Linked DNA regions of Macaca fascicularis. The main gene of each other region encodes a partner of the protein of the gene in region 2 in a complex. Links are inferred from orthologs where the notes say so. Each region holds a gene or a part of one and is shown on either strand. Other genes may lie near its edges.

Region 1 (4,124 bases), on a different chromosome or scaffold from region 2:
CCTGACGATATTTCTAAAGAGCCGACATTCCGCACTCAGTCAAAAAGATTCCGTTTACAGCTAGGGTGAGTTCACGACGCGTTGGTATGAGTAACCCTACTACTTAGCATCCTTCCAGTTGTATTGCCATATTTGCTTGCACATTTTTAAAAGAATTTTTTCATTCGGCTGCCGAAAAGGAATACATTTCTTTTTCCCAGAATGCTCCGATCATTTACGTGCTGGACGTTCTAACTGTAAGCACTTTCTATTTACATATCTCCGCCCACTCCCTTCCGCCAGACAACTACCGTAATAACCAAAATAGAAGCGATACCAAGTATCTTACGGTCTGCAGAACTAGAAAATAACGTTGCTTCTTTTTTTTTCTTCAGTAGTTTCGCCATCTCAATTGTGCCTTGAAAACTGTATATGTCTTAATCTTACTACAAAACATATTTTATTACAAACCACTAAATACAATGCGGATAATCCCAGACTCAAGACGTAATTATTCCAACACATATCCTCCAGCAGAAGCAGTTTCCGAGGGGAGGACCGAAGCCTATGCCTTCCTTCTTCCAGGAATACGAAGCGGCCCTTGCCCCTGTAGCCTTCGTCCTTAGGTTCCCGTCATGAAGGTGCTCAGAAAGGTTTCTTTTTCAGCCCAAAGACGGTGACGAATAAAGTCATTTCAGTGACAGCTGGAAGGGCACTACCGAGGCAAGTGGTAAATTCAGAAACCCTTTCAATATAAATACCCAAATCTCCAAACCAGAGACCCCACCCCTGAAAGTGTAGGACAGGTGGCATGGGGTAGGGAATGAAAATTCAAAAGACTACAGGATGTTAAGTGGATCTGGTATCTCACACATAGAGGAAAGGGCTGGGTGGGGGAAAAACCCTCAGGTTTAGGGTCAGCCTTCCTCCCTCATTCCCGAATATTGGATGCTACCACACCTGCAGAAGACAAAAATGTACCAATACGTAGTGCACTCCCAACGCTCGAATATGAAGAAGGACAGGGCCACGGATGCACTACAGTGAGCCCCAATGGCTTGGGAAGGCACCAGAGTTAAGGAAAGTCTTTGGATCGACAGATAGTGAGGGGTCAGAAAAGGCCAAAGGCCAGTGGTGGGGTTGGCATCTGCATTCAGGTTCATCGTTTGCTCCCTCACCATATTGCAAGGGCTAGAGTCAGCATCCCCGACTTCTGAATTTTAGGACAGTCATGTGAGGAGAGACCAGAAGTGACTGCGCAGATGGGATCTCAGGCTACCCTACTCCATATCTAGGGGCCAGCCTGGATCCTTCAGATGAGAGGTAAGAGTAGGCTCTCCTGCTATGCCACACAGGAGTGCTGACAGCGACTTGATATGCGCTGGAATCAGCCTCCAGTGTCCTGGTCCTCCTGGTCCACAATTCTCTGACCCATGTGCCTGGCTTCCGTTGCCTCTTCTGAGTTCCCAATGTGCTTTATATCTTTCGTTTTTTGCCAGAGTCTTGCTCTGTCGCCCAGGCTGGAGTGCAGTGGCACGATCTCAGCTCACTGCAACCTCTGCCTCCTGGGTTCAAGCAATTCTCCTTCCTCAGCCTCCTGAGTAGCTGGGATTACAGGAGTGCACCGCCACGCCCGACTAATTTCTGTATTTTTAGTACAGACAGGGTTTCACTATGTTGGTCAGGCTGGTCTTGAACTCCTGACCTCAGGTGATCCACCTGCCTCGGTCTCCCAAAGTGCTGGCATTACAGGCATGAGCCATCGCACCCTGCCTGTGCTATCTTTACACACTCCCATAGCACACTGCTTATCACACTGAATTACAGATGTGTATCTACCTCCTCCTCATGGTTAAAAAAAAAAAAAGTGGAGTTTTTATTATTACTATTTATTTTGTAGACACGGGGTCTAACTATGTTGCCTCCTGCGCGGGCCTCCCACAGTGCTGGGATTACAGACGTGAGCCAACGTGCCTGGCCAAAAACTGTATTTTACTCTCATTTCGGAATTTTAAGTGCCTAGTAAACAGCAGGATTTAGCACATGGTTGAAGATCTTTGAACTGGAGAGACTGGCTACAGCAGACACTATTGTGTCAGGTGGCTGAAGGGAGTCCTGATAGAAATGGGTCGTGTGGGAAAGGTGGGCAGGCAGAAAGGATACAGATGAGGCTCTGGGTGCTGTTGAACATGGAGACTCCTGAGAGGAAACCGGCCAGCTCCACTGCAAAGAGGCCCAGGGTGACAGAAAGCGCGGCCACCAGCCTGCAGAGAGGAAGTGGACTGGCTCAGGCCTTTGGACTTCTTCTAAGACCCCTCCACTCCCACCACCTCTTCGTTCTGGCCACCCCGTCCTAAGAGCTCACTGAATGTCCTGCTTGTCATACTCCTCGGGGGTGAACCTGAGAGGCAGGCAGGCCTGAATGTTGCTGTCCTGGGAGCAGGGCAGAGAGGAAGAGAAGTGAAAAAGGGGCAGGCTGCTGGGCAGGCCTAGGGACGGCGGAACACGAGAAAACCCAAGTGGGTAAGACACTGGGAGAGGGGCAGGGTGGGGCGGGGACGACTCCGAGATGGGAATGGGGGCGGACGGAGGGCAGCCGTGGGTCTTACCCGGGACCAGAATAAGGTGATGACGACCACCAGATGCGCCAGGATCGTCAGGAAGCGAGAGGGCACAAGCCCTGAGACCCGGCCCATGGCCCTTGGGAACAAGAGCGGCGGTCTCTGAGGCTGGAAGTTCAGAGACTGCGACTCCCGCAAGTCCACCAGCAAGCGGACAAATCTAGACGAACTCCTCCTTTCCGCCAGCTCAGGCACCGCCCAGTTGCCTTGGTAACCGCGTACGCGGGCGTGCTGCCGCGTTCTCGGAAAACCTCGCGAGAGCAGTACATTCTCCATCTGCTGTGGGTCTTTCAGGGCTAACTCAGGTCAGGGGTACCCGAAGGAGCTTCTAACCCAATGGCTGGGTACCCGTGCGCAGCCAGGCCCTTTGTTTCTCAGAGGGTGAGGGGTGGCACAGCCGCGCAGCGCCCGATCTGCCCACGCAGGGCCGACGAACGGAAACCCACCCTGGCCTAGCCTGGGGACACCTCTGCTTCCGCGGTTGCCCACGCCGGGAGCGGCCCCCAGCCCCAGCTACGCTGCCCAGTTGTGGATCACTTGAGATCACTCCCACCGCCACGCCGGGCTGAGGTCCCCGCCATGCCGAAGACTCACACCCGCTCCCCTTCCTCCTCTCCTCATGCCTTTAACTTCCCACCAAGCTGGGCCTGAGAAACAAGGGACCCGAACGTGGAGAGGCCGGTGTTCCTGGACTGCTCGGCAGTTACAGATTGTCACAGAGCCCCTGGTTGTCTGAGGACCCTAGGCCTGAACCTTCCTTGAGGAAGACTGATTTCTCTCAGACTACTTTGCTCAGTTTGGTGAAGGATTTGCAGAGTGCAAAAAGTGGTCCGCGTCCTTAAACTAGCGTGGGAATAAGAGCAAAGCAAGGTGGCTGGAAAGGTGGGAGTGGACGAAGGGAATGGTACAGTCCCTGCGTCTCTGGGAGGCTTGGAGCCTACGGGAAGGGAAACTCAACTTAGATTTCTTTATCTCTTGGAGGTGCTGGACCTCCGACATTGCCCAGCTACAGTCCAGGAAGCTCTTATCACCGGCGACGTCATGACCTTTGGGCCTCAGCGCAGGTCCCTGCAGATCTGAAAGTTCTTCTCTAATTGCTCAGTCAAGTCCCATCCTCAAGGAAACTCCCGGCCCATTTCCCAGGAGAACAATATCTTCCTACTTCCCACTCGACGTCTCAGTGCCTTTAGCCAGACTAAAGTACAAGCCCAAGAGGCATTTCTCATTCCTTCAACAAATATTTTTATATATTTATTTATTACCTAGTAATAGTATTCTAGTCAGGGAGATCAACAACAGACATGCAAACAAATAAATCCGTAAGATAATAGGTGCTACAAACAGGGATACGCGGGCCAGGCACAGTGGCTCACGCCTGTAATCCCAGCGCTTTGGGAGGCCCAGGAGGGCGGATCATCTGAGGTCAGGAGTTCGAGACAAGCCTGACCAACATGCTGAAACCCCATCTCCACTAAAAATACAAAATTAGCCGGATGTGGTGGCGCGTGCCTGTAATCCCAGCTA
Region 2 (3,500 bases):
CTATTTAATAGATATAATAAATTTCTTTATTCTTTCAGATAATAAAATGATTTATGTTTTACATCTTTAAGACATACTACATTATTCTTTTTTTTTGAGACAGAGTCTCACTCTGTCACCCAGGCTGGAGTGCAGTAGCGCGATCTCAGCTCACTGCAACCTCTACCTCCCACGTTCAAAGCGATTCTCCTGCCTCAGCCTCCCAAGTAGCTGGGACTACAGGCACCCAGCACCACACCCAGCTAATTTTTTGTATTTTTAGTAGAGATGGTGTTTCACCATGTTAGCCAGGATGGTCTTGGTCTCCGGACCTCGTGATCAACCCATCTTGGCCTCCCAAAGTGTTGGGATTACAGGCATGAGCCACAGCGCCCAGCCACTATATTATTCTTACTTTAAATAATTGCATATTTCCCTTCTATATGTTTGCAAATTTTAAGGTTCTTGAAAGAAAGTAAGAATGATAATCACCAGTCCAAAGAAATATATTTATGCAATTTTAAATATTTAAGAGTAACTTAAAAATTACAAACAGAACTCCTTCAATGTCAAATCTATCATATGACCTGCAAAACAAGCATACACCTAAATATGCACAATCATCAGTACATAACCCTCTCAAGCCTCGATAACTATTATTCTGGTAAAAAAAATTCTTCACATAGCTGGTCTTCATTCATACTCTCTGACATACCTTCAGTATCAAAACAAAGTGAGTTGATAAAACTTTTGTGAACGTCAAACTGTCGGACCAACATGGCAGAATCCTCGCTCATCTCAACTTTCCATATCCGTATCATGGAATCATAGCATCCTGTAACTACCAGCTCTCTTACAGCTGGATGGAATTTAGCCGTGTAAACAAAAGAAGGATGAGGTAAAACTTTGAAAGTATTTGTATTGTTTATTTCATTTTTCCATATCCTGGAAAAGGATAAGAAGTTACATATTGCTTCTTAAAAGCAGAAGTTTCTTTTAACAGTTTTTCTAAGAACCAACATAGCCAATGAACCTTAAGTAAGCAACTGACAACAACCAATGATAAACTAAGTTTTAAAACAATGAAAAATATGATGATGATCTCATATTTGATGACTTGAATTTTCACATTATGACAAAGTTATTTGTTATAGTTATCATCCAGCATATTATATCCACTAATTGTAATCTATACTATAAAATTAATAACTGTTTTTTAAACCTACCTATTTTGCCATTGGTTAAACACACATTGAACAGTTGGTAAAATATTGCATTTAGTACAATATGCATAAAAAATATACAGGGAGAAACTTTAATGATTTCCCATTTACATTGTGTACACCACTTTTACAAAATGTTTATTAATGGGGGTTTAGAGAATAGCATAGTCTATTAACTTTTATATTTGTAATTTCAAAGCCTAGATAGTAAAAATGAAAATCTCAAAGATTTAAAAGAGATACTAAAATTATTATATTTTGAATTCTCAAGTAAAATAAGATTAAAATAACTATGACATTTTGATAGAAAAGACTATCCTACATTAAGCACGTCCTTTTTGTTTAACACTCATTATCCTGTCCTCTAAATAATGGCTAATTAAAAAAAATTAAGATTATAATCACTGCGACAGTCTTGACAAATGAGTAAATCCCTAAGGGTTAATCTGTTAGATACTCTGCATCTCTAGCAATGTATAAAACTAGGTGAACTCTACCAATATACAGGTGCTATATAAGTGTGAAGCACTAGTTTTTAAAATATATTTGGTTATCAAAATTAGAACAACATATTAATTTTAAATATGGGATTTGTATTCATCCTTTTAATCACTGCTTGAAAACTAAAGCAAAGTAAGTCTGTTACAAGATTACTGATAAGAGAAAAAAAAAACAGTTTCTATTCAAGAATAATATTCTATGAGTTTCCTCAGCAGCTGCTTACAATATAGGATATGATCTTCAATTACTAAGAATCCAAACTAATAATAGAGGAAGTGAAAGAACATGTTTTCAAGTAAAAATAAAGCACATGAATCAATTGCACAAACATTTTTTACCACAGTATATTTTCAATAAGCATATTTATATGAAATATGATGTCTATTAGAAGAATAAAACCACTAACTTTGGGAAAATATTAAAAAGATAAAAGATAAAAAACTCAGTTGTTTGGCAAGAAATCTTAGTAGCATTATTTAAAATACTATATAACAGGCAGAAATGAAGCAAATACATCTTCAAAACAGCTCAATATAATTAGACATAATATTAAAAAAAAAAAAAAAAGTAAAGCTTTTTGTGTAAAAACTGAACTGGAATCAATGATGGCTTCTGTTACCCAGGCCATGGGAGAATCTGACATTCAAAGGAATATATAAATGGGCTTGGGGAAAAAAAATCAGACTAGATAATAGACAACAAAGAAACACAAACTTGTAAAGACTGAATGAACGCACACAAAAATTACTAGATTTGGGAAAGAAAAAACATACCAAAGTTAAGCCGTATGTTTGGGAAAAGGGAATAGTGGGAACATGTTTGGGAGCCATTATACATGGAAAAGTCTTTCTGACTATATTGGGCGTTGTTGATTTGAGAAAAACAGATTATTCTGGGGATAACTAAATAAGGGTGTTTAGGATAAACCCATATGGCAGAGAGCTAACCAAGTGGGAAATACTTAGGAGACACTGACAATAATATGTGTCAGGGATCCTCAGGAATAAAGAAGGCGAAGACATGGACAGAAATCCATACTTCTGCCACTTATGAGCATTTGCAATTCTAATTCTCTTTCTTTGGACAACAGCTCATTTATTACAAGTATTCCTTACCTCTCTCAAAAATCTCCTTGCCGTTTTGATGCTAGCCACAATGCTTCTCTTTTCACTCAGTTAATGCTTTCACAATACTATTTTAATGATGTAAACAGTCCTAAATTAATATCAGTTTTAAAGATAAATAAGGAAAAAATGTGTGCTTTAGTATAATATACTACGTATTGTGTGCAGAAACCCAAGATAGCTTCAAGGAATAACAGAAGTTGAGCTGGATTGTAACTAATAACTACAAACCTATGAGAGCTCACAAAAGGCATTTAATTTTTGTTGAACGAATGAGTTAGTCAGCAAGGGTAGGAGAAGGTCATTTAGGTATAGGAAAAGTAGGTAAGTTTCAAAGGGCAGGAAGATGCCAAAGAAGATAAGATGCTAGGGTGTTTCAAAAGATTACATGGGTGAAGCAAAGGGTACAGGGAAGGGCATGAGAGAAGAATGTTGGGTCCATGAGGAACATGCCTGTCCATGCTAAGGAACTGGAAAATTTTTCAAGGGGCAATGGGTAAAGTCTTTTAAAAAATTAAGGCATTATGAAAGATAGTTACGGAAAGATAATTTTAGCACAGCAGAGACAGAGGACTTAGAGACTGAACACTGAGGTCAACAGCAAAATAGGGCTTGAATTAAAGCAAACGCGATAGAGAGGATGTGACAAAATTGTGAGCCTTTTAGGAGGGAG

What was found. Proteins that work in one complex are often made in the same cells at the same time.
Region 1: AHI1 (region 2) and TMEM107 share a complex: the UniProt entries of both Homo sapiens proteins name them as parts of the tectonic-like complex. The link is inferred for Macaca fascicularis from reciprocal best matches to the Homo sapiens genes AHI1 and TMEM107.

Annotation. Positions count from the first base shown.
Region 1 is NC_088390.1:8,261,417-8,265,540, forward strand, and holds TMEM107 (transmembrane protein 107), read right to left. Parts: upstream 2,801-4,124; 5' UTR 2,676-2,800; coding exon 2,589-2,675; intron 2,413-2,588; coding exon 2,345-2,412; intron 2,262-2,344; coding exon 2,143-2,261; intron 1,303-2,142; exon of another isoform or gene 1,204-1,302; intron 1,037-1,203; coding exon 940-1,036; intron 695-939; coding exon 625-694; 3' UTR 423-624; downstream 1-422. UniProt on the Homo sapiens protein: Plays a role in cilia formation and embryonic patterning. Requires for normal Sonic hedgehog (Shh) signaling in the neural tube and acts in combination with GLI2 and GLI3 to pattern ventral and intermediate neuronal cell types.
Region 2 is NC_088378.1:39,470,506-39,474,005, forward strand, and holds part of AHI1 (jouberin), read right to left. Parts: intron 925-3,500; coding exon 695-924; intron 1-694. UniProt on the Homo sapiens protein: Involved in vesicle trafficking and required for ciliogenesis, formation of primary non-motile cilium, and recruitment of RAB8A to the basal body of primary cilium.